Linked DNA regions of Tamandua tetradactyla. The protein of the gene in region 1 interacts with the protein of each later gene in a pairwise test. Links are inferred from orthologs where the notes say so. Each region holds a gene or a part of one and is shown in the gene's direction. Other genes may lie near its edges. The genes, in order: BAG6, DNAJB11, SERPINI2 and ATXN2.

What was found.
Region 2: the proteins of BAG6 (region 1) and DNAJB11 interact in a two-hybrid assay, tested with the Homo sapiens proteins (2 studies listed by BioGRID and IntAct). The link is inferred for Tamandua tetradactyla from reciprocal best matches to the Homo sapiens genes BAG6 and DNAJB11.
Region 3: the proteins of BAG6 (region 1) and SERPINI2 interact in a two-hybrid assay, tested with the Homo sapiens proteins (2 studies listed by BioGRID and IntAct). The two-hybrid records come from large-scale screens. The link is inferred for Tamandua tetradactyla from reciprocal best matches to the Homo sapiens genes BAG6 and SERPINI2.
Region 4: the proteins of BAG6 (region 1) and ATXN2 interact in binary tests that used the Homo sapiens proteins (3 or more experiments, as listed by UniProt). The link is inferred for Tamandua tetradactyla from reciprocal best matches to the Homo sapiens genes BAG6 and ATXN2.

Annotation. Positions count from the first base shown.
Region 1 is NC_135331.1:87,239,983-87,247,268, reverse strand, and holds the start of BAG6 (large proline-rich protein BAG6), read left to right. Parts: upstream 1-4,282; 5' UTR 4,283-4,391; coding exon 4,392-4,394; intron 4,395-4,417; exon of another isoform or gene 4,418-4,548; intron 4,549-4,650; exon of another isoform or gene 4,651-4,654; coding exon 4,655-4,771; intron 4,772-5,829; coding exon 5,830-5,947; intron 5,948-6,061; coding exon 6,062-6,261; intron 6,262-6,505; coding exon 6,506-6,559; intron 6,560-6,721; coding exon 6,722-6,796; intron 6,797-7,286. Other genes in the region: APOM (apolipoprotein M), read right to left, coding at 44-204, 374-472, 565-638, 916-1,070, 1,389-1,502. UniProt on the Homo sapiens protein: ATP-independent molecular chaperone preventing the aggregation of misfolded and hydrophobic patches-containing proteins.
Region 2 is NC_135336.1:5,480,664-5,488,348, forward strand, and holds the start of DNAJB11 (dnaJ homolog subfamily B member 11), read left to right. Parts: upstream 1-4,668; 5' UTR 4,669-4,737; coding exon 4,738-4,774; intron 4,775-5,565; coding exon 5,566-5,605; intron 5,606-6,865; coding exon of another isoform or gene 6,866-6,877; exon of another isoform or gene 6,878-7,165; intron 7,166-7,271; exon of another isoform or gene 7,272-7,593; coding exon of another isoform or gene 7,594-7,661; intron 7,662-7,685. Other genes in the region: TBCCD1 (TBCC domain-containing protein 1), read right to left, coding at 1,971-2,306. UniProt on the Homo sapiens protein: As a co-chaperone for HSPA5 it is required for proper folding, trafficking or degradation of proteins.
Region 3 is NC_135331.1:64,577,414-64,584,693, reverse strand, and holds the start of SERPINI2 (serpin I2), read left to right. Parts: upstream 1-4,266; 5' UTR 4,267-4,401; intron 4,402-7,096; 5' UTR 7,097-7,104; coding exon 7,105-7,280.
Region 4 is NC_135331.1:12,234,224-12,241,979, reverse strand, and holds the start of ATXN2 (ataxin-2), read left to right. Parts: upstream 1-4,740; 5' UTR 4,741-4,823; coding exon 4,824-5,059; intron 5,060-7,756. UniProt on the Homo sapiens protein: Involved in EGFR trafficking, acting as negative regulator of endocytic EGFR internalization at the plasma membrane.

The DNA of each region.
Region 1 (7,286 bases):
AGCCTTTGTTTATGCCCTCAGGTGACATTACATGAGCCCTCCTTCATCCAGCATCCCCAGACTTACTCAGTCCTAGTCTTCTGCAGTAGGAATTTAACCCCTCACCTTGATTCTTGGGAGTCAGTAAGAAGGCCTTGGAGTCCAGGCAGGAGGTCAGGAACTGGAATTCCTCCACACACTTCTCAGGAGGATGTGGTGAGCGATCTGGAAGGGCAGGGCCAGGACAGTCAAAGGCCCTGCTTCTCAGCATCACCCTGGTGAGTACCTCATGGGCACGTCACCCCTTCCTGGGGTGATGTTAAGGGATTCAGAGTAAGGGCTCTCTTGCCTTCCTGTTTCCCTCTGACCTTTCCTGCCTTGCATCCCCACTCACTGTAGAAGAGGAAACGCTGGTAACCCTGGCCCATCTCTTTCAACATGATTCCTCCTGGGCACGAGCTGGAGAAGAGCTTCGTTTTCATGTCAGGGCGGCCTGTCAGGGTGAGTGGGGGGGCAGGGGATGAGGACAGAGATGCATAAGCAAGGCCAGAGGACATGGAGAGGGTGAGGGCTGAAGGAACCAACCTTCAGTTCTAAGATCGGTGCTCCCGTCAGTCAGGTAATAGATCCACTTCCGGGGCACACAGAGCCCGTTTTTCCTACAGAGGTGGTGGTGGCATGAAGGACAGACTTAGAGACACTCCAACCACATAGTCCCAGCCTCCCTTTACTCCTCCTTGAAGGAAACTTGGATCCCTGTGGATTTCAAGCTACCAAAGAATGGTTAGATCTAGCTTTCTCTTTCCAAAGGGAAATAAGTACTACTGAGCCAAGAATAGTGGAGGTACCAGCCAAGAGCCCAGCTCTTGGTGGATGAGTGCTTACTCTTTGGGCAGAGACCACACCCACTGACACCTCTACCTCCTCGTCACTCACGTGCGGATAGTAGCACGAAGCTGGAGGTGTCTTGGGGCAGAGTCAGTAGTCATATTGAAGACAATGTTGTCCACAGGGTCAAAAGTCGCCAATTCCTCCCTGGTGGGAGCTGCCCCTGCGATAAAGTACCACCGACCTAGGTGGGGCTCTGGAAACTGAAGAGACAATTTGAAAAGCAAATTGTCAGTCAGGATAGGCATTGGCTGCTTTCCTCTTTGCAAATGGGGGTCAGATCCATGACAGCAAGTCATCAATGACTTGGGTAGCCACCATCCCACCCCACCCCCACTCCAATTCTGCCATGTCTCCACAGTTATGGCTTCAGAACTAAAATCTTTCTCCCTGCTTTTGTCATCACAACACTCACAGCATCTTCTTCCCCTCCTTTCCCCATGTGGCTTCTGGTCATCCTAAGCCACCCACCCAAATTCCCCAGGGCCTCCACCATAGGCTTCACGTGTTCTCTTCCATACCTCTTTCCCATCCACTCCCAGAGTTGTCAGTTGACTGTGCTCAGGGCAGTAGTACATGGAATCAAGGAGAATGCCATAGAGGTAGAGCAGAGCTGCCCAAATTCGGTGGAACATCTTCAGGCAAGAGGGAGCTGGTGCCCTGTGTGGGGTGGCTGGTCCCTGTACTGCTCTCTCCCCTGCTGGCTGCTCAGTCCACTCTGTTTCCAGCCCCCTTGCCTTGATCCTTGACCCTTTCACCTGCTAATGAGTAACTTCAACCTTGTTTTCCAACCCAAACCAGGATTAGTGTTCGGACCTTCCTCCCATCTCTATATGCAGCCATTCTAGAGTACACCCTAATATGTCTGGGGTTTCTCAGGAGTTATGAGAACTGAACCCAAGTAAAAGCCCTTTGGTCTGTCAACCCATAGCTGAGCTGTATCTGCTGTGTTGTGCAGCATTGGAGAGTCTTTCATTCATTCACTTAGCAAACTCTTTTGAGTCCCAGCTGTTTGTTAGAAACTGGCTAAGCTCCAGGGACTTCAAGATAAGGCACAATCCTGGGCCTCAAGAAATCTGCCTTGGGAAAACTGACTATATAAACAAATCATTACAATACAACCTAAGTGCTGTAGAACAGGTATGATCCAGACAGTGAAACATACTGGGTGATAGGCTTTCTTTCTATAGGAGCTTGTTTATAATTGAGGAAACAGTGCACATACATTCTGGAAAAGTTTGCTGGCATGTAAGTGAATGCATTTGTTCAATGTTTATTGCCAAGTAAGAGGCTGTATCATCTAGTGTTAAGATCTTTGGTATAAGGCAAATCTGGGTTCAAACCCAACTCTGCTTATTAGGTGTTGGGCAGTTTTATTAATCTCTATGCTTGTTTCTTTATCTGTATAATGGGTAAATCGTCCATCTCATAGGATTAAATGAAATAATGCACATAAAGCCCTTAGTAGAAGGCTGCACATAAATTCAAAGTAAAAATTCATTGTAATTAATGTTTGCACTTATTAGTTTCTGATGGGTACTAAGTTCTTAATAGGAGGTAAGAAGAACTGTGTAGAAGCAGTAATTGGATAATCCCAAGGGAACAGAACAGTTAATGCAGTGAAAGGGGGCTTTCTTAATAGATTATTCATAATTCATGACTGTCCCCCCAAATTTGTCCTGAGAGGTGAAACTTACTATAAGCTTGCAAAATTTAGTTTAAAAACAAAACAAAAAATAATCTGGATGATTGATGTATATAAGGGTTCATACTACTACTACTACTACTTTAGGGTGTGTATGAAATATTTTATAACAAAAAATAAAAATACATTAATTTATTGGGGCAGCAAAGTAGAAGTACTTGACCCAGAGTCTGGCAAGCCTAGATTTGATCATCAGTTCTTTCTGCCAATTAATGTTCGTCTAAGTGAACTCACCTATAAACCCGACTATCTCAGATGAAAAAAGCTTAACTATGACAACAGTACGTAAAACCCTTAGTATGCTGGCTGGCATAAAATAAATGCTCACTAAACAGATGTTTATTAAAGTCTTAACTGAAACAGTACTGGAACGTGGGTATATAAAAACTTCAAATCCTGGGAAGGTTGGTCAGCGCAGGTTGGCACCCGGACAAAGACAGGCCTGGCTGGAGGGGTCGCAACGGCGTAGGGGCAAAGACCTTGTTCGGTGGGGAGTGTACAGGGACGATAATCCCAGCCCTGTCCCGGGCCTGCCGAAGTCCCTTGACAGCCTCAATTTAGGGCCAGAGTCTCGTTTTTAGGGCCAGTCTGACTTCACTTGCTCCCAATTCCCAAATTCGGAGGCATTCCTTTTCTTGACACATCCTGAAAGAACCCACAGCTTTTGAAAAACATGGCATGTCCCCTCGGTCGTGCACTGCCAGAACATGGCGCTGGCACCCCACGAACGCCCGCCGGTCAGCGTCGAAGTCTCTCCAAACGACGCAACCGGACGCAGGGGGACAGGCGGCCCACAAGCTGCCCCCAACCGCCCGCAGAAAGGGTGACTTTCGAAGATGCAGAAAGAAGAAAGAGCGCGACTAGGGCGACAGTGAGAGGAAAGCAAAGTTTTAGGTGGCTAGAGCAGTGCCGCCTCAAATTCTCCGCCTGTCAGAACTTTGACATAGATTAATGAGGCATAATCCTGAGTCCCCAAACTACAAGATTCATACAACTGTTCAAAGTATCTCTTGAGGCAGTCATGGACTCCCGTCTGGTAATTTATTTTCAGGCATTTATAGTGGCCACCTGAACTTTATAGCGCTCACGCGCGCACAGGAAACACGAACCGCGCTACCGGGGGTGGGGAGGCGCTTCAAGTGTGTACGCACGCGTATGTAACGCACGCAGGCGCAGTACGGTCCCCCAGGCGACGGCGGCGGCGGCTCCTCGGGGTGGTCGGCTCCCTCCCATCTAGGCCGGCCCCGGTCCGTCTCGCCCCCAGGAATTCACTGTTTGGGGCTCTGGAATTTCTCGTCGAGCCCCACAAAAGGAAAGCTTGGGGGTCTTGCGGAGCCAGAAGTGCCGCCTCGCGAGCCCCTAATACTGTCGGGGAAACGGAAGTGGCCGTCGGTGGCAGGTTGGGGGAGACCGGAAGTGACGGTACCGTGGGGGAAGTAGGGGGCGGGGTTGCGAGGTGGTGTGCGTGCGTCTGTGTGTGTCTGTGTGTGTGTGTACGTACACACGTGCGTGTGGTTGGTTGTGTGTTGGTTGCGCCGCTCTGTTGGAGCACCAAAGGCAGGCGGAAGAGGGCAAACAGCTAGCCGTTCCGTCCCTCTTGAATGTCCGCGGTCTTCGGTCCGTCGTGACTTACGCGGGTTCGATGGGCGTGGCGCGCGTGCGCGAAGCCACTCTTTCCGCAGCGTCTGGACCGAACCCTGCTCGCGTTATCCCAGGGTTTGCCGACCTCTGGGGCCCTTTTTCTATTGCGACCGGTGATGACACTTCTGGTCTCGTGCCTCCTTCCTTCCCTGCTTCCTAACCTGACTGGCCCTCTTTTATGGTGATTGGCATCGTGGAGCTCCTCCCACCCCCGTCTTATAGTTCCCTAGGCCGTCGCTCTCTTGCCCTTTGTGTTTCTCTCCTTGTGTCCCACAATTAGAAGGGGGATGGGGGAGCTTATGAGTGCATGTACTTTTGTCGGAGAAACTTTTTAGGTATTGGGACGGGGGCTCAGGCCAGGGAGGCTTTCGGGAATATAAAATCTGGTCCGGGCGACAGCGGGCCTCCTTCCCTCTCTTCCCCCCATTCTTCCCTAGATAGCTGTCGGCCATGGAGCGCAGTGATAGTACCAGTGCCGCTATGGAGGAACCTGACAGCCTGGAGGTGTTGGTGAAGACCCTAGACTCTCAGACTCGGACCTTTATTGTGGGGGCCCAGGTGAGATCCTAACACTTGTGGAAGACATTGATTACTTCTTCATTTTGTAGGCTCTTAGCCTGAGGGAAGAGTCTGATTTTCTTGTCCTCAGGTTTTTTTTGTTGTTGATTTCTTTGTTCATATTCTGGAACAGAACGTTTTTTATTGTTTTTTGATGTTTCTGTTCCTGAGACAGATTTTGTTTTGTCTTTCTCTTCATCTGTAGATCTCAGTACAGAGGGAAATAGAAAGGAAGGAGGACTCTGTAGGCCATTGCAGCTGGCCCTCAGTGCAAAGGGGAAACAAAACATGCAGACCCAAAGCACAAGTGTGTTTTGAAAAAAAAAACTGTCAGGCCTAAACTCTATTTTTAAGACTGGAAATTAGAGCCCATTATGTGGATAGTGCTTTAATAAGCAGTTGAGTAGGAATTATGACTGTTTGTGGCATAATTTAATCTCAAGTTTAATGCTATGGACACAGCTGTACTTTACTCTTGTAATATTTGGAGACAAAAATCTTGAATGAGTTGGTGTGTTTTTTTTTAAACCTGATATTACATGCAGTGTTTAAGAAAGCCATTTAGACTTTCTGATGCAATGTGTGTAAACACCCTGGTACTTCCCAAGTTGTTTAGGAAAAGTGTTTTCCTTTTTACTCCATTTCTAACCTCCTCTTTGGTTGAGTTTTCCCCTCTTAACCTGATCCCCCCTACCCCCATCTTCCTTGTCATTGGTTTTATCTTTGAGATTATGAAATAGTCTGTGGTTAATCATTTTTGTTTGCGGAGGGGTTACTGGTATCTCTAGACACACATTCCCTTGGGAGCCAGAGAAGTGGAAGGAATGCAAGTTGGCTTTTCTATTTCTCAGCCATGTAATTCTCATCTGGGCTTATAACCTGAGTTTAACTGACTTTATTGTCTGTTTTGGCAGGTATGTTTTCAGCTTAGGGTTTCACAATCGAAATAAATGGGTAGTGATTTTTATGATGGTTTTTACCTCTCACTCTAAGGCAGCTGTTTCTCTTGTGTTCTTCCTACATTCCCTGATTCCTATCCTTGTCTCTTCTCCTTGCAGATGAATGTAAAAGAGTTTAAGGAGCACATTGCTGCCTCTGTCAGCATCCCCTCTGAGAAACAACGGCTCATTTACCAGGGTCGAGTTTTGCAGGATGATAAAAAGCTCCAAGAATACAGTAAGAGTATGGGAGGGGCCAGTCAGAGGTTAAAGCTGCTGTGTGGCGGGATGGGCTGAGTCTGTGGGTTTACCTAATCATACGATGTCTTGGTGTGATTTTTCTTTCCTGTAGATGTTGGGGGAAAGGTTATCCACTTGGTGGAACGGGCTCCTCCTCAGACTCAGCTCCCTTCTTCTGGAGCATCTTCTGGAACAGGGTCTCCTTCAGCCACCCATGGTGGGGGTCCCCCACCTGGTACTCGAGTTCCTGGGGCCTCTGTTCATGACCGGAACGCCAACAGCTATGTCATGGTTGGAACCTTCAATCTTCCTGTAAGCTTGTGTTCCACATGGGAGGTTTTTTTTGTAGGGAACGGTAGATGCGGTTGTGGTAGCAGCAGGGCACTCCTGAGACAGGTGTCTCAGGTTTTAGTGTGAATTTGGAAAGCCCTGTGGTCTGACATTGGGTTTGATCTTTGAGAGACAAAAAAGGATGGAACTCCAGAGAATGATTTGGAGGTATGCGGGCCTTAGTCTTTGGCTTCTCCCAGAGCAACTTCCCTTACCCTTTCCTCAGAGTGACGGCTCTGCTGTGGATGTTCACATCAACATGGAACAGGCCCCAATTCAGGTATCACAGGGCCTGGGAGGGTCAGGGAAGGGGATCTGGGAGAAGGAGGCCTTGAGGTGGGGTTGGGTCTGGCTGAGGAGATAGCTGGGTCCTGCTATAGTAGGTGCTGGAACACATGGGTACATCTCAAACCTGCCCTGATCATCTCTCCTCTCTTCATAGAGCGAGCCCCGGGTCCGGCTAGTGATGGCTCAGCACATGATAAGAGATATACAGACCTTACTCTCCCGCATGGAGGTGAGTGGGTAAGGCCAACCAGCCCCAGGACTGGGGTCATGAGTGGTCACATCCACAGGATTCTTCTCTGCAATCTTCATTCTTTGGGGTAGAAAAAATATCCTTGTGAGACTATCTCATCCCTCCCAGTCCTCTTGGTGCCTGTATTTAAGAAGTTTGTTTCAGACTTGTCAGATAACTCTCATGGCATCTCCTTTCAATTAAAAATTTTAAAGGATTCAGTTGTTTTTTGTTTAATTTCTTAGTTAACATATTTAGCATTGAGATATCCTAACCTCATTAGTTTGTGTTGTAGGCTGCAACCTGTTGTCTTCTCTGTCTGCTCGTAAAGGTTAGGAAACCACAGTCTCTACTTTTTGTCAGTAATTTATTTGTAGATGTTACAGGTATTTATTATGTACCTAATTTATTTAAGTCTCATACTATGTATTGTACTAGTTCCTAGGAAGTCAAAGATACAAACACAAAGCTCTGCCTTCCTGAAGGTAGA
Region 2 (7,685 bases), on another chromosome or scaffold:
CATTTCCTTCTTTTCTTTACTTTTTGTATTTTATATATATTTTTATTCTTGCACATATCACACCAAATAGCATATTTTTACACATTAGCCTCCTCTGTGAAGAAAGAGATGCTTAATCATCTTTGAATCCCAGTATATAACAAATGTTCATTTAAAAAATGTGCACCCCAATACTACCTAACTGTAATATAATTATGTTAGAACACTGAATGAAGCTGAATGTGAGATTAATAGAGGGAGGAGGGCTGGGGGCACAAATGAAATCAGAAAGAAAGATAGACAATAAAGACCAAGATGGTGTAATCTAGGAATGCCTACAGTATATAATGATAGTGACTAAATATACACATTTAAAAATGTTTTTGCATGAGGAAAAACAAAGGAATGTCATTACTGCAGGGTGTTGAAAATAGATGGTAATTAATATTTTAAAATTTTAACTTATGTGTGAGACTAAAGCAAAAAAATGTTTATTTGGTACAAAATTTATATTTTGACTAGTGCATTTCCTAATATAACTTATGTGAACAGCTTAATTGAACACCATAAGTACAGGGAGCCTTGAGTAGGGCATAAGATTTTCTAGGTTTGTCCAGAGTGATACCCCAATAAATCCCAGAGTGATCTGAACAGTGAGTAAAAAAGTATTTGCAAAGTCCCCTTGGGAGAATGGTGAGAAAGGAGGAAAATTCAACTTCCCCAAGTAGAGAATTCTTGATATTCTCACAAGCAGTGGGGACAACCAAAGCAATAGGCTGAGTCCTCAATTTTGGGGTTTGTTCATATGAAACTTAACCCCACAAAAGACAGACTAAGCCTACTTAAAATTAGGACTAAGAGTCACCCCCAAGAGAACCCCTGTTTTTGCTCAGATGTGGCCTCTCTCTCCAGCCAACACAACAAGCAAACTCACCGCCCTCACCCCATCTACACAGGACATGACTCGCAGGGGTGTGGACCTTCCTGGCAACGTGGGACAGAAATCCTAGAATGAGCTGGGACTCAGCATCAAGGGATTGAGAAAACCTTCTCGACCAAAAGGGGGAAGAATGAAATGAGACAAAATAAAGTGTCAATGGCTGGGAGATTCCAAAGAGTCAAGAGGTTGTCCCGGAGCTTATTCTTACGCATTACATAGATATCACCTTGTTAGTCAAGATGTAATGGAGGGGCTGGAGGGAACTGCCTGAAGATGTAGAGCTGTGTTCCAGTAGTTATGTTTCCTGAAGATGATTGTATAATGATATAGCTTTCACAATGTGACTGTGTGATTGTGAAAACCTTGTGTCTGATGCTTTTATCCACCTTATCAACAAATGAGTAAAACATACAGCATAAAAATAAATAATAGGGGGAACAAATGTTAAAATAAATTGAGTAGAATGAAATGCTAGTGATCAATGAAAGGGGGGGTAAGGGGTATGGTATGTATGAATTTTTTCTGTTGTCTTTTTATTTCTTTTTCTGAATTGATGCAAATGTTTTAAGAAATGATTATGATGATGAATATGCAACTAGGAGATGATACTGTGCATTACTGATTATACATGTAGAACGGAATGATCATATGTTAAGAATGTTTGTGTTTGTTGTTATATTTTTTAAAAATTTTTTAATTAATTAAAAAAAAAGAAATGTGAAAAAAAATGTGCACCCTGACTAACATATCAGTGGTTCATAAGCAGTCACACACACCAAAATATTTTTTAAATCAATGGAACTATTCTCCTCTTTCAGTTATAGGATTCACATAACATTATTGCTTTAGGATAAAATAAGGATGGGTGAGTAAGAAACAATTCATTAAATATATTAAATACTGACAAACCAGAACTGCCAAAACTCAAATAGACCTTTGGGATCACAATGGTCATTAGCCTAAAATAAACTATCCAGCTGGTACAAAGATCACAGATAAAGAAAGAAATTATTCATTTCCCTAACAATTTCACACACACAAAAATCCATACCTGATTTCTTTGCTTTTCGACTTCATCCTCAGATATGCAATTGGACATAACCTCAGACCATTCCAGACGCTCTTCGGGTGTCCTTTCCACAAGACTATCAAATACTTCAAAGTAAAGCCATGCCAGATCCTTAGCCAACTGCAGTTTCCCACACGCAATGTGCCTCCATGTAGACCAGTAGAGCCGTGGGAAAGCACTGCATGTGGCCCGGGTTCGCACATAGCTGGATATCTTCCTGAGATAGTGAAGGCTGAACTTGGATGGAGGAGGCACCTGTAAGGCGCCCACCATAAATGGTTCTGCTTTCACCCAAAGGAGAACTCCAGACTGATCCATGCTATCTCTAAGGACAATTGTGTAAAAAGTCTTCTTTGCATACCTAGGAAACAAAGTTTCTTCACAAACTGATCTGAAACAACAAAACTCATTTATAAATGTCTTAGAAGGTGACACCTCCCTTAACTGTTTTTAAATGTACTACACCAGTTTGAAAAGTAGCACTATTTCATCAACCAGAAGTAGAATAAAGTTTTTATTGGATTTCATTAAAATCTACTTGGGCAAGAAGATTTTTGCAATACAACAAAATTGTCTTGCTTGTATTGTTACTTTCATTGGCGATTAAAGGAAGAGTATGCAAAAGTGTATTCCTTGCTATTACTCAACCAGTCACCTAATTTTAGACATTTAACAGGTATAAAAATTTTTCACAAAAACAAGATAGACAAAATATTGATCACTTTTGACGCTGGGTGATGGGTATACTCTACTTTTGTGTATACTAAAAATGTCCTTAATAAGTTTAAGTGTTTTCAAAATTATAAATAATGCTGTTTACCATCTTTCTGCATAGCTGCTTCTGCATTATAAATGATTTCCCAAGGAAAATTATCAGATGTGTATCTGACAGATGAAGTAATACTGACATTTTTGAAGCTCCTGACATATATTTCTATTGCTTTCCAAAATTTTACCAAATTGTACCATCACTTGACCACAGTACTCTCTTCATTGAATACTCCTCACCATTAAGTAACATCATCTTTAAAAAAAAAAGCCTTTCCTTATAACTATGCATCTTTTGGAAATTGTTCAAAAAAATAATTGATTGTCCATGCAAAAACTTACGTACAAATGTTTATAGCAGCATTATTCACAATCACCAAAAGATGGAAACAACCCAAAAGCCCATCAACTGATGAATAGATAAACAAAATGTGGTATATCCATACAACAGTATATTATTCAGCCATAAAAAGTAATGAAGTAGTGATGAATGTTACAAGATGAACCTTAAATATACATTATGCTAAATAAAACAAGCCATTCACCAAAAAACACATATTGTATGAAATGTCCAGAACAGGGAAACCTATGTAACAGTAAGTAGGTTGGTGGTTGCTTAGGCCTGGGGGGGAATTTTCTCATAATGGAAAACATGATGTGAAAACTAAAGACGAAGAGGTTTCTTTTAATGTAATGAAAACGTTCTAAAATTCACTGTGCCAATGGTTGCACAAATCTGTGAATATACTTAAAACCCTTGAATTGTGCCCTTTAAATTGACGAACTGTAGATGAATTATATCTCAATAAAGCTGTTTTTAAAAACTGACACTAATCCAGTGCTTACTATATGCCAGGCAGCATGCTAAACATTTTGCGTACTTCATGTTTTCATCCTCACAACACCTCCATCTCATTTACAGATGAGGGAAATGAGGTTTAGAGAAGTTAAAAGACTTGACCAAAACTGCATAATTAGTTCGCACGGCCCTAGATTACAATTAAATGTTTCTCTGACTTGAGAATCGTGTTGTTACAGATGTACTTTGGGAATTCAATTTGGATGAACCTTTAATAAACGGGACGCCGACTATAATAAAGAGCCTTAGACATGAGACCAAATAAGGGCCAGGTGAAGGAGTTTGGGATTCTGAGCCAAAAAGGCGCGTGGAGAGTAAACAAGTCTTCCCTAAATGGGCAAGGCTTAATATCGTTCTGAATACAACTAGAGGATGGTTACAGGAGGAAAATCTTAGTTCTTCCCAAAACGTAAATAGGCTGCTCTGAAGTGTGCAATCAAAAGCCAAATCCTACGGATGTATACTCTCTAAGGTCTCTTCTAATTCTGCAACTCCGGAGGTCTAAACTCGCAGTCAAAAGCCATATCCTAAGGACGTCCTTTCCAAGGTCTCCAAATTCCGGAAGTCGAAATTCACAAACAAACATATCCTGGGGCCTTTACCTCTCCTAAAACTCCTCAGGGAGACGCTGGCGTTAAGGTTTCTCCGGCGGGGAGGCCGGCGTGTGGACAACGGCCGGGCCGCCGCCTAGAACACAGCCGGGAAAAGGCGGCGGGGACGTGCCAGAGCCCTGATACGGGAAGCCCGAGCTATGGAAACAGAGACGCCCCAGCTGACAGGGTCCGAAGCGCACCCTGGCTTCGCGTCTGGGAAGCGCGAATACACCCTTCTCAATCCCAGCCTAAAACTTGACCCATTCATCCCTCTCCCAGCCCACCAGCCACCGACCGCCGCGCGCTGTTACCTGCGAGCGCAAAGCCCCTACACCCGGGTTCCCAGCGCGCCTCGACACCCAATGCGCATGCGCGGGGGCTTGTATCACCGAGAAGCAGCAGGCGGCGTTGCTAGAGCGCCGCCTCTTCAGTGACGGAGACCAATTGGGAGGCCTGGAGTCCTCGATGAGGAGCCAGACCCGGCTGCTCTCTAGTGGCGCGTCTTTCCACCCAGAGAATAAGTTTTCTAATGCTCTACAGAACCGTGGGTCTGTCAGTAGCGGCTGGTAAGGTCAGCACGCTTTGATAAGTAATAATGATTATGGCAGTTTAGATTTATAGAGCGCTTATTATGGGCTGGGCACTGTGTAAAGCACTTATACGTGCATTTTTTTTCAGTCTTCCCAAGAGTCCATCAAATTAAAAACATTTGTTATACTGATGAAGAAACTGGGATTGTAGAGAGATTTAAGTAACACACCCCTAAGGGCACACAATTAGAGAAGAGCCAACATTTAAACCCAGGCAGTCGGAGATGAAAGCCCCTTGCGTTATCTCCTTAACTCTGTTAGTTTTCCTGCCGTGTTACCGTCTTCGTGAAGATTTTTTTTTATTCCACCCAGCAGAAGATATCACCTCTTATTTATGATTTGTGGCCTTTTCCTGCTTTTCTTTGTTCCTTTATGGCCTCTCTTGGTGTGGGGGATACAAAGGGATATAAGACAAAAAGTGTAGTTTACTTCCTCATTTACGTGGCTTCTCTCCCTAAGAGACATCTTCCTAAAAGTAGTAAACCATGTCTTCCTCTTAGTCCCACATATGTGTAGATGCAAAAAACAGGGACTTCGATTCAGACAGACCTGGTTGAGGATTCAGGCTGCACCATTTACTAGCTCATTGACCTTTGGCAAATTTTGTCACTTATCTATGTCTTAGTTTTCTGCCAACAGCAATAATTATTCATCGAGCACCACTGTGTGCCTGACACAATGCAAGGCACAAGGGTTACAGCAATGAACAAAACAGAGAGGATCCCTGCTTTCTTGGAGTGTATATTTTCCATTTTTTTTTGGCACAGGCAGGCTCTGGGGATCGAACCCGCGTCTCCGGTACAGCAGGTGAGAATTCTGCCACTGAGCCACCAGTGCACATCCTTCTTGAAGTGTGTATTTTAATAGGAAGAATACACAATACATATTGAGGAAATAGAATAATTTCAAATGTAAAAAGTGCTATGAAAACTGGGAGGCGGGAGACTAAGAAGGCCATTTAATAGGGCCGACATTTGAGCTAAAGCCTAAAGAAGCAGCCATATGGAGGTCACAATCAAAGCAACTAGTCATCCATTTACCAAAAAAATAGTTGTGTGCCTATTCTGTTCTAAGATACTAGGGGTATAAGAGTGAATATAACAGACCAGATTCATGATCCTGTGGAACTGACATATAAGTGTGGGGATGTGAGGGTCAGGGATGGAAACAAAATAGGGTGTTGTGAGAATAAGGGATTTGGTATGTGCTAATTTTGATTGGATGGACAGGGAAGTCCTCTCTGAAGTGACATTTAAACTGATATAAGAAAGGAGTTATCCATGTTAGGATCTGAGGGAAGAGTGTCTCAGGTAGAGGGAACAGCTAGTACAAGGACCCTAAGGCAGGAATGAGCTTGGTGTGTTCAAAAAAGAGAAAAGAAGCTAGTTTTGTTGGCAGTATCCTAGGTGAGAGTACAGGTCATGTAAGGTTTCATAAGGTAGGGTAGGAAGAGTTGGAATTTTGTTCTACGTGTAATGAAAAGCCATTTGGAGCTTTTAAGCAGAGAAGCCACATAATCTTAATTATTTATTTATTATTTATTTTTGTCGTTGGGGAGTGGGGAGCGCAGAGGCTGAAAATGGATGGTAGGATATTAACAGTAAAGGCAGGGACGTCAGTTAGGAGTCCCTGTCAGGGAGAGATGATATTGACTTAGCCCAGAGAGGTAGTGGATATGTAGAGCAGTGCACCAGAGATTCAGGACACAGTTAAGAGGTAAAGAATTGGACAAGTGATGCAGGAAAAGAATCAAGAAAGGCACCAAGAATTTTGTCCTCAACAACGAGGTGGTGCGTTTACTGAAATGATCAAAAGTAGGTGAAGATTGGGACGAATCAAATAGTTCCATTCATAACTGCAATAAGTTATTATTCATTGCGTGCTTACTATACGCCTGATGCTGTGCTAGACAATTTACAGATTTCCTAACATTAAAAACTCACAACACTTCCAGTAGTGTTTTGCCCCAATTTTGTTCATCAAGTACCTTAGGCTCGTCTTACGGTTAAGAAGTGGTGGAAGCCGAATCCGAACCTAAGTCTATCTACCTACATCAAAGATGCTCACCTTAGGCACCATGGCTTTTTCTCTGTAAAATTTTCTCAGGAGATTGTTTGGATTATTTAAAATAAAATCTCTTAAGCAGTGGAACCGATGTACATTGAGCCTGGAATAACTGTCCCGCCCATTTTGCCGTCATCCTTGCGTACTGGCGTCCGGAAGGACGCTCAAAATGAATGAAATTCCGAGACATGTGACCTAGAAAAAGCCTTCCTCCTGCAATTGGTCGGTGCTGGAGGAAGCGCCCCGTGATTGGTGGAGAGTCCAAGGGGCCGGGCGGGAGGACCTTCTTGTGCCTCCGGTGTCCTCCTGTGGCACCCACCTCCCCCCTCTCTTTACGTAGTTTTCTGCGACAGGCGGGGCTGCACGGCTTCCTGCGGCGGCGCGACACTCTGACGTCTTCTTTTCTAATTGGCCGAGAGCTGGGGCTGCTTAACTGGAGGTCGCGCCGCCTCGGAGGTGAAGTGTACTGCTCTGATTGGCTCCGCGGCGCCGGCCGCGTGTGATGTCCCTAGCAGCGATTGGCTCTCGTCCGCTGGGGGCTTCTTTCACTGGGATTTGGGACTCCCGGGAAGTCGACCAGCGAAGGAGTGGGCAAGCTAGCTGTGGCTGCGGACCGAGGAGGAGACCCCCGGCGTGAGGTGGCCTCACAGGGCCGTGCGGACTGGCTAGCGGAAGTGGCCACGGGGGAGACGGCGAGGAGTGCGTGAGACCCGGGCCGGGACGGAAGAACTATGGCCCCGCAGAACCTGGGCACCTTCTGCCTGTTGCTGCTGTACCTCATCGGGGCCGTGATCGCTGGGTGAGGGACAGGCATCGGCAAGCA
Region 3 (7,280 bases), about 23 Mb from region 1:
ATTGGTGGAAGAAAGGTTTCCAGAAGCGGCTGCCTATTCCATCTACATTCAAATCCAAATTGAGTCTGGCATAGTGATTTTTATGCATAGTGATTTTCCTCCTTATTGAATGAGAGTCACATGTGGAAAAGAGGCAGACACACACAGATACAATCACACAACCATATATAGAGAAAAGAAATGTGGTACATGTTAACAAATGGGGAAAAAATGGGAGGGGAATGGTAATTCTTTGCACTGTACTTGCAAATTTTTGGTAAATTTGAAAGTATTTCAAAGTAAATTATTTTTTAAAAACAAGCATTGCTTTGGGACAAAGGATTTAAGCAGCGACTGGATAACTCAGTGAGATTGCATAGAATTCCTGCACTGGGAAAGAAATTTGATTGGACAGACCATCATTTCAAATTCAGAGCCTGTGATTTCTAAATCATATAAATCTGAGCTATATTCCAAGAAATTTAAAGGAATATTAAGTTGTCAAAGAGATGTAAGAGGGGCACCAAATGCTTTGTGAAGAGTCTTTTTTCCATCCATGTGTCCATCCGTCCATCCTGCACATGCAAGGGACCATGTTAGATAAGAGAGATACGAATATGAGTAGGATATACTCTCCTGCCTTCAGCCTTCTAGATTGAAGGCACATAGACTGCACTTTATTAAACAAAGATTGAATTGCCCCATTAGATTTTATAATTTGGAAATCTTTCACTGGACACATTTTACTTTTTACCCCTGAAGATAACTTCATTTGAAGTGATTATTCTGAAACTGGTTTATAGACAGAGCTTCTCTTTATAACCTTAGAGAAGTAATGGATAAAGGGCAATGTGTGGGTGGAACTTATTCATTTATATGAAAAGCACCTGTCAAGTACCTACTATGTGTGCAAGGTACTATGCTGTGTATAACTCTAACTTCATGTCTTAATGTCGACCTCTTTTGTGAAAGGTATACAGGTGTATTTAATGGGAATAGAACTCTTAAAGATATGAAAAATTTTTAAATGTTACTGCTTCTAATAGTTTGGAACAAAATCACATTAAAAGGGAAAAATTAAAAGAAATTTAGCTCTTATGTATTCTTCTTCTTTTGTTACTTACAATATCTAATTGTTTTAGGCAGGTAGCAGGATCTCACCCATGAACTGTTAATAGAACGAAAGCCATCATAAGCTGTTTCTGAAGTTAACATTTAGATTCAGTTATTTAGGATCCATTTTTCCACAGTGAAAGGAACTTGTCACATTAAAATAGTGTGTGCCATAATTTTCAATAGGCTATCTTTTTTGCAATATGTAGATTTACATGAAATATAATTTAGTTTGTTCTCTTTCAGAACATTTTCATCTAATCACTTACAATGTATAGAGTAAGCTGACAGAGAAAAATTGCCTGAAATTCACCATGCTCAAATAGAAGAAATAGCTTCTAAGTCTTTTATTAATTAGAGTATTTGCTTATATGTCTTTAAAGTTTGGAATTAAATACATTTTTTCTTAAAAATAAAACTACAAAATGCTAAGAAAGGTGATGAAACTCTAACTGTAATATCTTACTATTATGTTTGTACATATTCCCTGGTTTCTTTTTAACATTGGAATAGTAATGGTGCTCAAGAAATTTATATCAGGACATTTTGGCTCCCACTAATGAGTAATTTTTTTACTGATGCTCTAGGGGCATAGAGTTGTAGGAGGAGCAGAGTTGTGAAAACACATAAAATGTGTGCAGTAATATTTTATGGTTTTTTCATATCTTTATTGTCTATTAAAATAGAGGAAGAATTCTGGTCGTTGCTTTTTATTCCCCAAGAGAAATGACAATGGACATTCAGCTGAACTGCTCAAACATACAGTTCTTACAGAATAACCTCATTAAATGTTTTAATAAGACAGTGAATGTTTCTGTCATTGGTTGGAAAAGTAATGGCCTTTTTTAGGTCTATCATAGTATGATCTGAGTAATGTACAGTCATAATACTATGATGGCTGTGTCCAGTGTCACTTCTTGGGCATAACGGTATTGACTCATGATCATCTTGGATAGTCCAACTTATTATTCATGTGTTGAAGAGTAGAGCTGGAATGATGACGGTGTTCTTGTGTTTCACAACTCTTTTTGGAATATAGTCTCTTGTGGTATTAAGTTAAAGCTAGAATAGAGTTTTTCCAGTGCTACAGTAGCTGTAACAGAATAGACCAAGATTTAGGAAAGATTTTGAGATGCCCAGATGGGTAATCAGAATTTTTTCTTTTTATGTTTCATGGAATGTTTAACAGGACAATGTGAGCTCTGTGCATCAATCTAAATCTGTCATAACAGCAGCCCGATTTTATGACACTTTCAATAAACTTCAAATATACTCCAAGCAACCAAACATAAAGTTTTTAGTTTTATGAACCCTCTGGTGAAATATCTATACAATCATGGATCAAGTCAGTGAAGAATCTGTACTCCTGTTTGCCAGCACCAACATTGGCCTTTGCAGTGCCCCTAACTTTCTTCACTCTTCTTGCATTCCTTCCACTGTTTTATTGAGATCTTTTTCTCCTCATAAGGCCGTATCTTGCAAGTCTGTGTTTGGGTTCATTTTTCTTTGCATAATCCAAGGAATCATAAATCATGCCAAAGCCAGTCATCTTGCCACCACCAAAAGAGGTTCTGGATCCAAATACAAAGATGATGTTTGATGTGGTCATGTATATTTTGACTGGTTTTTCCCAAACAGTCTTAGGTACTGTTGCCTTTCCAGGGTGAAGGACAGCGATGGCCATTTGTTTTTGCTGAAGTAGTGGCTTGATCATGAGCTTCCTGGTCTGCATAGATACCGTGTCATTCATGATGACTGGTGATCCCGGTAATTAGAATTTTAGTAAACTAAGAGATGATGGCTATAATAATCACCAGACTTCTCAGGCCTGTACTGAGAGAGGTTAACAGGATCCTTGAAAAAGTTTCTTCAATGAATACTCTTTAAAGCCATTTTATGCTTATGGTGGTTTGAAGCTGGATACACCCCAGAAAAACATGTTCTTCAAGCTAATCCATTTCTGTGGGTATGAACCCATTGTAAGTAGGACATTTTGATGAGGCTGCTTAAGTTCACCTCATTCAGGATGGGTCCTAATCCTACTATTGGAGACCTTTATAAATGGAATGAATTCAGGAAAAGAAGGAGAACAAAAACCACTGAAGGTAAAAATGGAGATAAATGAAACCTGGTATTTAAGAGAGAGACCAGCAAACACGCCATGTGCCTTGCCATGTGGCAGAGTTGCTGAGGATCCCCAGCAGCCAGTCTTTGGGAAAAAAACATTACCTTGATTTGGACATTTCCATGGCTTCAAAACTGTAAGCAAATAAATTCTGATTGTTTAAGCCAGCCCATTTAATGATATTTGCTTAGAGCAGCCTAGGAAACTAAAACGATGCTCGTTTTATTTTTTCCTCATGACTTTATTGGAAATAATATTATACTTGACAAGCAAGTGACAATCATACTTGCTTAATTACTAGACCAAATATTCTGCTTCTCTTCTCAGAGGCCATTGATAAATAATACAATGTGTTTTAATGCCTAATTATCATTGAAATGACTGATTTGAAATAGAAGAATGAAATCAAGACCCATTCAATTATGCATCCATTTTTTATTAATAACTTATTTGGAGAGAAAATCGTGTAGAATTTTAAAAGCATATAAAGGCAACACTGATGTTTATTATTAAATTACCTATGTTTAATAATTTTATACTGATATAATTAGTTAAATCAATAATCGTAATCTGGTCTCTTAATCTGGCTCAACATAAAGAACATATTTCATCAATATCCACTCTTCTTCCTAAGGATTCAACTGGGCCTTGTATCTGCAGGAAATTCCTCTGACTATTGCATAATTTGATGGATTGTTGAGAATTCTGTAAGCACAGCAGTAATTTGTCTCTGCATTCTGGACTTGATTTAGCCTTATTCTTTTTCTCATAGGCATTCTAAAATATTTATGATGGAGTATGTTGGTAATGTGATGTGAAAGTCTTGTGAGAAACAAACAAAAAAAACTAATTACCAGCAATATTACAAACATAGGCACATTCTTTCAAATTCTGCTTCTGTTTGTAAAAGAGGTGAAATAATGGATAGAATAATAGTATAAACTTGATGATTTAAAGGGATGCTATTATTGTTTTTCTCTTCCTGCGTATTTCAAAATTACTCATTAACTTGATCATGCTAGTCTTTGTATACAAATGTAGTGAACACCTGCTCTGGTCTTAGAGGAATTAATCAAGCAACATTCAAGATAATAGAGTTGGCCTTGACTGATCAGGTGCCAGTGTTCTCCAGCAAGCACATTTTAGTTGTAACATTACAGTGAATCATCAGAAGCCAATTTTGGGTAAGTACTTTAATTTAAATATCTTCTGAGTGAAGTATATATGCAATAACGTTGACTGTGGAGGTTTAATAGAGTAGAGGTTGCTATTATAAATTCGAAGGTCGGATTCTCATGGGGTTATTAATTGGATTGTTTAGTGTACCAGCATTTTGTGCTTTTTGCTGACATATGATCCAAAACCCAGTAGGATAAGTGAAATTTAAAATATATATATATACTTTTTTTTAAAGCTGTCCACATAAGTTATATTAGGAAATGCACTAGCCAAAATATAACTTTTGTACCAAATAAACATTTTTTGCTTTAGTCTCACACATAAGTTAAAGTTTTAAAATATTAATTTCCATCCATTTTCAACACCCTGCAGTATTGACATACTTTTGTTCTTCCTCATGCAAAACCATTTTGAAGTTTGTACATTTAGTCACTATCGTTATACACTCTAGGCATTCCTAGATTATACCATCTCAGTCTTTATTGTATATCTTTCCTTCTGATTTCATTTGTGCCCCCAGGCCCCCTCCCCTATCATTCTCACTTTCAGCTTCATTCAGTGTTCTAACATTATTGTGCTACAGTCAGGTAGTATTGTGCTATCCATTTCTGAATTTTTGTAAATCAGTCCCATTGTGTAATCTGTATCCCTTCAACTCCAATTACCAAATATCTACCTGATTTCTATCTCCTGATGACTTCTGGTCTTAACTGAAATTCTCCAGGTTCATTCATTAATGTTAGTTCATATCAGTGAGACCATACAGTATTTGTCCTTTTGTTTCTGGCTAATCTCACTCAGCATAATGTCCTTAAGGTCCATCCATGCTGTTACATACTTCGTAACTTTATTCTGTCTTACAGCTGCATAATATTCCATCATATGTATATACCACAGCTTGTTTAACCACTCGTCTGTTGATGGACATTTTGGCGGTTTCATCTACATATACTTTTTGAGTTGTAATTTATAAGTGCCTAGAATTTTTTGGCAGAAACGGATGCTTAAAGAATGTAAATTTTAATTAGTAAGATCGTTAATAGTAAGGGGAAGATAACTCTAATGCCCAGAGTCTACCTAAGGGTAAAATGATATCCTTCATAATATTGCTTATCATTCTAAAATAAACCATGTTCTTAAAGATACACCAAATGAATTGCTGCATCATGATTTAAAAGTTCTAATAACATTTTGGCTAATTATGTATCTACACACTTGGGTCAGAAATATCCTGAGAAATTCAGTATATCAGAACAGTGATGCAAAGAAATTTATTTCGCATGCACAACTTCTCTGACCCACTCACTGGCTTTAATTGTTGAGACAAAGCCAGTCACAGCCTCCTGTCCAATTAATTCCTCAATAAAACATTTGCTTGCTTATATATATATATTTGCAGTTTGTCAACACATGTTCCTCTAAAAATTGCTTGGAATTGGATTTTGAAATTTTCTTCCATTGCAAAATGTATATCTAAGCAAATAGAATTTGATTACATATATTAGAAAAATTTTGATGTATCTAGATAATGACACCACAGCTTAGTTTGGGAGACTACTAATATTTACTAAAAATGCATACTTTGTATGTAATTTAGTGCTTCTCAATGAACCTTAACCCATTCATGGATTATGACAGCTCTCCTAATAGTCTGCAAAATGATATAGAAATGCAGTTCTTTATTTCTTTAAGGCTAGCAACACAATATTATGGAGGATTTCACCCTACCTTCTAGTAACCTGCTAAATGAATTATTTAGGTCACTAAAACATATTATTTGTAAACTAAAATTAGTGTTATGAAATTTATGAGGCCTTTGCAGCCAGTATTCTATTAACAGGTTTGTGGTAATATTGTAAAACTTATTCTACTCTGGATATAATCCAGATAGTTGATTTTCCTGAAATTTTAATGGAGAACACTTTAATAGGATGTCATTAGTGTTGTTTTGAATTGGTTATGATTTTCAATTGCTGCTTTTCTTGTATTTGTTCATTTATTTTTCAATGTATTGTTCGATTTTTAATTGCATTGCTCTTTTGTTATTACTGTACCATTTATATTTGGCTGTCATTTTCTTTCCTTACAATTTTCTCAGAGTTTTGTGCATTTTTTCCTCCCTTTGGAAAAGTAGGATATGGGGAGAAGTGGGATTCCGGAAAGTGTGAGGATCACGGCTGCAAGAGGTTAGGCGAGTTATTCAAATGGTTTAGAATACATTAGCTTCCTAATATTGTAGATTTAAAACCAAAATGGAATATGTTCATTTTTATTTAATTTCTCTTCTTGAGCCTTAAACCATTTTAGAGTAGTCTGGATCAAAGTTTCCCTTGGTATCAGAATTAAAGGTATCCCATTTAAAACCATAGGAAAAGATAAGAGAAAGTATCATATAGCTATTCAGAGACTGTATGGCTATTGAAAACATTCTAGAAGTATAATTTATCCTTTGATTTTGCTTAAGAAACTTCAAATATATTTCAGACTTGTTCTTGAAAGAACATAAAAATTACCATTAGCATGACCTATTTCTCCTAAAAAATGATGCATTGTTAGAAACAGGCATAGTATAGATTTTTTTGGAAGTTAGTTCTAATAAAACAGAAAGTTCTAATAAGGTAGAAAAGTTTCTGTTGAACTTAATGTAGTAAACTCTGATTATTTAAAAATCCAATAAACTTTGAATTATACATTTTACAGAAGTCAAAATGGATAAAATCTTATTGTGGAGTCTCTTACTGATTTTTCCTGGAAGTCAAGCCTCAAGACCCTCGGCTCAAAGAAATGCTGAATTCGCAGTGGATCTTTATCAAGCTGTTTGTTTATCTCACGAAAACAACATTATATTTTCACCCCTTGGAATGACTTTAATTCTTGGAATGGT
Region 4 (7,756 bases), about 75 Mb from region 1:
CCTGTGGGAAAGCAGTTACTTTTCATACAAAGTGTATAAATAATGCCTCCAAGCAGCATCTCCCCCAACACCCATCTTTCCTTTCTTTTTTTTTTTTTTTTTAATATTGTTTTAGTGTTTTGGCATCCCTAGAGGGTCTACAAATAGATTTGCCTCTAAGAATTCTGAGTAACCACAGTCAGGAGAAAAAGCAATGGTTTAATTAGCCACGGTCCTATTTTTGAAATTACATCTGCTTTTTTTTTTTAAAACTGAGTATCTGTCTATGCAAGAATTTGAAGAGGATGGATTTTGGTGGGGGGGGATGCATGTTAGTTTTGATTTGAATTAACTTTCATGCTGTGGAAATCAAAATCAAGAGTATTGAGTGAATAATGTATCATCATACATTAAACAGGCTCAAATGAAGACAGCTGACAGAAATGATTACAGAAAAATGAATTGCTGGAAATATGGGGTCCTCTGCTGTGTGCTATTATATGAGAGATAACAAATCACTCCACACATTTCTGTGCTTTGCATGGTTCTATCAGTTTTTCATCCCCAAATTCCCAGACTTGATTAATCACTGAAGTAATGAAAATTAACAGGCTAATAAAGGATCATGTGGCTTGAGGAGTCACTGGAAATCAGAAAGCAAGGACAGAAACCACAGGACTAGATTCCCAAATCTGAAAGTCTTTCTCTGGATGTTTTCTGTCTTGAGACTTTTTGAATTTCTGAAATATTGGTTGAAATATTTTTGAAGCTTAAATTTTTCCAACACTTCTCAATCTTAGACTGTTTCAGGGCAATATTCTTCGTTGCCTTTGATGACAACTCTCCAAAGACACTTGTTGGTTTTGTTTTAATGACTATCAGAAAAATGTCTGTGGGAGATGAAGGACCATTCAAAATTTTAACTTTCACTGGATATATTATTAGTCCCTAATTTCAGCATCTGTCTTTAAAGAATTCCGAGTCTATGGAAATCATTGGACATGTACCTTTTTTTTGGTCATCTGTATTAGTTATCTATTGCTGTGTTAACAAATTGTCCCCAACTTTAGCAACTTAAAACAGATAGGTTAGGAATCTGGGGACAGCTTAAATGCGTAGCTCTAACTCAGGGTACCTAACCTGAGCTAGATACAATAAAAGTTTCAATAAAGTGTCTGCTAGGCTATATTCATATCAAGGCTTGATTGAGCTTCTATGCTCACTCATGCGGCCTATGACAGCCATTGGGTCCTCACTTGTTGGTTGGAGATGGCAGTTCCTTGTCATATGGACCTCTCTGTAGGGCAGTTAACAGAATAGCAGCTGGCTTTCTTCAGAGCAAGTGAGGGAGAGAGGGCAGCTTGTTTTAGTTTCCTGGCTGCTAAAACAAATATGCAACAATGGTTGGCTTCAGTTAGCTGGGCTTCAAAGGCTAGAGGCTTGCTTCCTCCCAGGTCGGTATCTTCTGGCTGGGGTTCCTTGGCTTTCCCATCACATGACAATGCACGTGGCGGGGTTATCGCCTTTCTCTTCCAGTTTCATTGACTTTCAGCTTCTGGCTGCTCCCCCTTCTCTATAAGACCTCCATGGATAGCATAAAGACCCATTCTAATTCATATGGCCACACCTTTATTAAAAATAGTATCTTCAAAATGTCCTATTTACAGTAGGTTCACATCCACAGGAATGGATAGGATTACGAATATGCTTTTTGGGGATACATAATTCCAAGCCACCCCAGAGCCCAAGGCAGAAGCCAGAGTCTTTCTGTACTATAATCTTGGAAGTGAAAACCCATTACTTTTTCTAACTGTTTGTTAGAATCAAGTCACTAGGCCCAGCCAATACTCAAGTGGAGGGGATATGTCAGAATCTGAATACCAGGAGGAAGGGATCACCGGGGCTGTTTTAGAGACTGCCTACTATACCCTGACATTTTCATATAAAGCTAAAGCCCTCTGACATCATGGTTGCTATAAAATAACCATGTTCTTGGAGGTCTGGAATTCAGGTGAAGGATTTGCAAGAAGGGATATTCCTTGGTTTTAGGTGAGGAGACTCCCTCAAGAAAGTGAAATGGGGAGGAAAAAAAAAGAGTTGACAAGAGAGGTTTTCTTGGTCTCCAATTTAATATAAAAGTAAAGATCAAATTTTAATGCTAAACCCTATACATTGCTGGTGCAAACATAAAATGGTGCAGCCCACCTGGAAAAGAGTTTGACAATACCTTAAAAACTTAAATATATTTCTTTGCTGTTAACAATTCTCAACTTCAAAAAAAAAAGTTAATTATAAATTTACCTTATGACTCAGCAATTTCACTCCTAGGTATCTACCCAAGAGAAATGAAACATATGTCTACACAAAGACCTGTACACAAATGTTCATAGCAGCATTATTCATAATAGGCAAAAGTTGAAAACAATCCAAGTGTCCACTAACTGGTGAATTAATGATGTACAAATCCCATTGGTCTACGCAGTGGAATACTACTTAGTAATAAAAAGGAGCTAAAAACTGATATATGCTACAACATGATAAACTTCAAAAACATTCTGCTAAGTGAAAGAAACAGACACAAACAACCACATACATTAAGATTCCATTTATATGAAATGTCTGGAACAGGCAAATCCATAGAGACAGAAAGTAGAGGAGTGGTTGCCAGAGGTGTGGGTGGAAACTGCTAGTAACTACAAATGGGCATGAGGGATCTTTCTGGGGTAGTGGAAATGCTCTGAAATTAGTGGGGATAGTTGTACAACTCTGTAAATTGACTAAAAATCATCGAATACTTCAAATGGATGACTCTTATGGTAGGAAAAAGTTCAATTATAGTGGATGAGAACTAGCCTACATTTCTCAGCCTACATGAAACCAAGTTCAGCTATGTCAGCTTTATGCCTTCTTACTCTACTTCCCTTTTTTCCCCCATATGCTTGGAGTTTGGTCCTAACACTACATTCTGGGACCTTGGTCCCAGATAAAGCTCTTAAGTCATTAAATCAGAGAAAGTCCATTGTATTTTGATTATAGTTATTTTATTTTTTCCTTCTTCATCTGGTTTTTTAGCCCTGTTTCTTCTGGGCTAATTTTTAAAGGATTTTTTAACTCTAAAGGAATACTACATTTTTTCTCAATCTTTTTACCTTAGATGGGAAATACACCTGATTGCTGATTGCCTGCTTTTCAAGTGTTTGCAATATACAATGATCAGTTTTGCCTAGGCTATGTAGGAGATTAATGTCAGTTCATTCTGGCTACTGGATACATCTGGCTTAATTATTCTTCAAGTTCTTCTAGGTCTTTACGTTTATCTGGACAATTCGAGATTGAAGGGAATTTTGATGTTGATTGCCCTATCATTTCCTTAAACTCACTAAAAAATACAACAAAACACTAGATGCTTCACTCAAAAAAAAAAAAAAGTAGTTATCTACTTGCTTCCAGTTTAATTGCAACACATTTTAAAAACGGACTACTGTGCTGGCTGGCTCTCTTAAGTTAAAGTAAAACTTCTAAAGGGGCCAAGGTCTAAAGTTCGCACATTCTTGTGAAGACTGTTCTGTCTCCGCCGACAGGAGACCCCATTTTTTCATAGCTGTACCAAATCACGTACATTTCCTCTTGAGCCTCATGAAGGAGGTAAAAGAAGTTCAAGTGAGGGGAAAATGGGTTCAAATGAAGGTCAGATACGCAAAAGAGTTTTCTTGGTTACTTTTTTGCTGTTGTAGAAAAAGTGGGGTAAAGGTAACCAGATTTGGGTAGCCTCGGCATGTTGCTCAATCTCAAGTCCATTCGTTAGTCTTGGCAGCGAAACAGAACAGGGCTCTTCTTTGAGACACTCAGTGACACCCGAGGGCCTACTGTGTGCCAGGCGCCGAGGATACAAAGATAACTGTTGAATGCTCGTGTTCATCGCGCCAGTGACTATTCTGCGTGCTTTATACGGAGCAAGACACTCTACCCTCGGAAGGCGCTCGCAGTTCATTTTATACGTTGCGTCAGGTGGGGTCAAACAGGCATTCTTCTCCAAGCTTGAGGACCGAAAAGGCACCTTGGGGGGCGAGGGAGAAAAAACGCTTCCTCCTAGTCCTTTACGCTAGGTTGATCCGGCCGGAGAAGACCGACACGCCCTCGCCAAAGGGCAACCCCGCCTAGAGGAGGGCGGATCCAGGCAGGGCCGGCAGCCGGGCCCTCACCGACCCCCGCGAACGCGGCCCAGACCGGCACCCGCTCCTCACGTGTCCCTCCCGGACTCGGAGCTCCCTCACTCCCTACTTCCGTCTGACCCTGCCGACTTCCGGTAAAGAGTCCCCATCCCGCATCGGCCGCTGGCACGGCCAGCAGCGCTTGGGTGTGTTCGTCTCCCGATGAGCTCGGCGGCCGCAGCTCCTCGGGGCCCTGCGGTGGTCCTTGAGCCTCGCCGATTCGCGGCTGCCAGATGGACCCGGCGGCGCTCGCTCCCGCGATGGGGCGGAAGGGGCGGTGGCGGCACGGCTCTAGGCCCGTATCCCTCCGCCGCCCCTCCCCCGCCCGGCCCCGGCCCCCCTCCCTCCGGGCAGCGCTCGCTTCCCTCCGCCTCAGACTGTTTTGGTAGCAACGGCAACGGCTGCGGCGTGTCCCGGCCCAGCTCCCGGCGGCTCCTGGGTCCCGGCCGGCTTCCCCGCCCCTTCGTCGTCGTCCTCCTCCCCCTCGCGGGCCTGGGTTCCCCCCCGGCCGTGCCAACCCGCGCCTCTCCGCTCGGCGCCCGCGCGTCCCCGCCGCGCTCCGGCGTCTCCTCGGCGCGCCCGGCTCCCTGCTGTACCCGCCTGGCGTGCGGGCCGGTGTATGGGCCGCTCACCATGTCGCTGAAGCCCCAGCAGCAACAGCAGCAGCAGCAGCAGCAGCAGCAACAGCAACAGCAACAGCAGCAGCAGCAGACCGCGGCAGCCAATGCCCGCAAGCCCGGCGGCGGCCTTCTCACGTCGCCCGCCGCCGCGCCACCGCCGTCCTCAGCCTCGTCGCCCTCGCTCTCGGCCGCGGCTTCCTCCTCCTCGGCGGCGGCGGGCACTGGCGGCGGGCGGCCGGGCCTGGGCAGGTGGGTGTCGGCGTCCCAGCCCCCTCCGCTTGGGGCCTGGACGAGGTCGGGCCTCGCGTCCCCTCCCCCGCGGTCCGCACCGCCATCCCCTCCCCGGGACCGGCCTGGCCTAGCGGGGTGGGCTAGGGGCCCGCAGCGGGGGCGGGAGCTCCGCTTTAGACCCTGCAGGCTCGGGTGGGGGGCGCCGTGGGGCCCCTCTGGATTGTCAGGCCGCGTCCATCCTCCTGCACCATCCTCACTCTCCTCCCTAAACGGTCAAGATGGAAGGACCGGGCAGCGTCCCCTTCCCATTGAAATGCTCACAGGTCCCAGCAATTGTCAGCCCCCGTTGCACCTTCTTTAAGCCCTCCCGGTCCCCAGTGGGGGTGAGGGGGATGCTGCGGGCAGCGTCCCCACTCCCGGTTTAAATGTGGTTGGAGTGGTCTTTAGATTTTGTTTCAGTCTCCCGAAACACGTCTCCTCCCCCATGGAGGAATATCGAGGCGGGGGGGGGGGGGATTGGACCGCGTCCCCTGCCTTCCTGTTAAAGGGGCAGCCACAGGACGCTTCTGGAATCGTTGGGGTCTGTCACGTCTCTTCACCTGTGCCCCCTTTCTACTCAGTGAATGATGGAAGGACGGGGGTGAGGTGGGTGGGCAGCAGCCCCCCGCCCCTTCCAGTTTTAAGCCTTAAGGCCGCGGCGGGGTGTCCAGAAGCCCTAGAATGGTCTTGCCCTGTGCAGCCTCCCGCAGCGGCCCGCTCTCCCCCACCTGGGGAAGGGTGGGAGTGCTTGGGCCCCTCCCGGCCTCCCCCTTCTTTCCCTCCTCCCGCATGGCCTCTCCCGCTCGGGTGGTGGCCGATCCGCATTGCCGTTCCGAGGCGGCGGCTAAAGCGCTTTTGCACACTGGTGGGTGAGGGTCGGGCCCAGGCGTGCGCCCGAAGCCCAGGCGGAACTGGGGAGGTGGGGGGTGGGCGGGGGGAGCCCGCTGAGCTTTCTTGATACCCCCTACCCTGATTTCCGAGGTGTTTTTTTTTTTTGCGTGTGTTTGGGGAGAGGGATTGCAGCGGGGGACAGGGTGGGATTCCTGAAGGCAGAAACGTGGGTGTTTCCTTGCGCCTCCCCTCTCCCGCTCCAACCCTCATAACCCAGGTTTGTGCTGAAGGCTGGGGGCTCTGTTATTTCCGCCAGCCGGGTCTAACTCTAGAGTGTGTGTGCCTGTGCGCCAAAGCCTCTTTGGGAGTCAGGGTCGTGTGTCAGTTCGTAATTCACTAACTGAGAAAATGCTTAGCGTTCAAACAGGGTGCAAGTGTCAGTAACACTCCGTTCCATTGTGGCCTGTGTCCTTAACTTGGGGAGTGTCGCCAGCGCTTACCAAGGGCACGCAAGTCCGTTTCCCCTGTGCCCTGAGTCCATCCGTGTTGAAGGCGCTGCCATGCCTCATTTAGGCCGGATTGGCAGGGCCAGTGACCAGCATTCTCCTTAAATAGATGTCGTGGTCTTTTGAAGGTGGAATAAGGGAATTTTTCATGCACTGAGTTTTCTTTGTGAAAACACATTTTCAGCAATCCAGTTACAAAGCATTTTCATTAACCAGCAAAAAAACTTACCCATCAAGATGAATCAGCTGGTTTTTAAGAAATTCTTCTCACTTCAAAGAGGTTGATGTAAAGACGCTTCTGGACTGCTACCCACTCCTACTCCCATAGTTTCCCCTTCTCTAAAGCACCCACAAACCTAGCCAACTAGTTCAAATGAAGGGATCATTTCCCCAGCTCTGTACACTTAGGATTTTGTAACTTTAGTTTCCTTTTTGCAGTGGCATTAATAAAGAAAAATGAAAATTATAAATATAATTTTTACAGAAAGAATTGTTTTCCTTTTAGGTGTCAGGTTGAAATCTGGCAGATATATTTCACTTGCTCAAATAATTAAAAAATTTAAACTAAGGCTTTGAAGAAGTTGCATTGGTTCTCTTTAGGTATAAAAATCACATTATGACAAATAATTTGTTCCGAGGTAGCTTGATTGATCAAAGATACTTGGAATGTTTTAGTACTGTAGGTCTTTTTTCTATTCCTTAGGGCTTCACAGAAATTTAAGGTTCATTTAGATTGTCTTGCTTTAAATTATTTCACCTGATGCGTAAATGGTAGATCTTACTCTTTTTGTTAAATATTTGAAGTTTTGTTTAATGTATTAGTCATATAATGTAAAATTTTGTTCTTGTATAGATTCATGTACTTGTAGAATTGCTTTCAATTTTGAATTACGTTTATTGGGCCCTTTGTAGATCAGTTACAGTTTCTAACCTCACTTATGCTTGAATGTATCAGCAGTAAAATAAGTTTCTGGATCAAGGGTGAAGAAAAAAAGCGCAGCATTGGGTTTGACATGTTCAGAGATAGCAAAATACTCTTGAAAATCTAGAAATAATACTTTTGCTTTAAATAGTATATAATATTTTATCATTTGAGTTTTTTGTGAAAATTGAATTTTCATGGCTTTCAAAATGATTTATTCTGTCTTTAATTGTCATATACATTTCAGAAGGTGGCATTTTGTCTTAGGAAATAACAGTATAACTACAGCTTAAATTTTGAACATAATTTTACCTTAATCCAATTTTTATTTTTGTCTTTTAGTGTTCAGTTCTTGTCAACATTTCTACAGTTATAGTGATTATATATATATTGTGTTCATCTTTTTTCATCTTAACA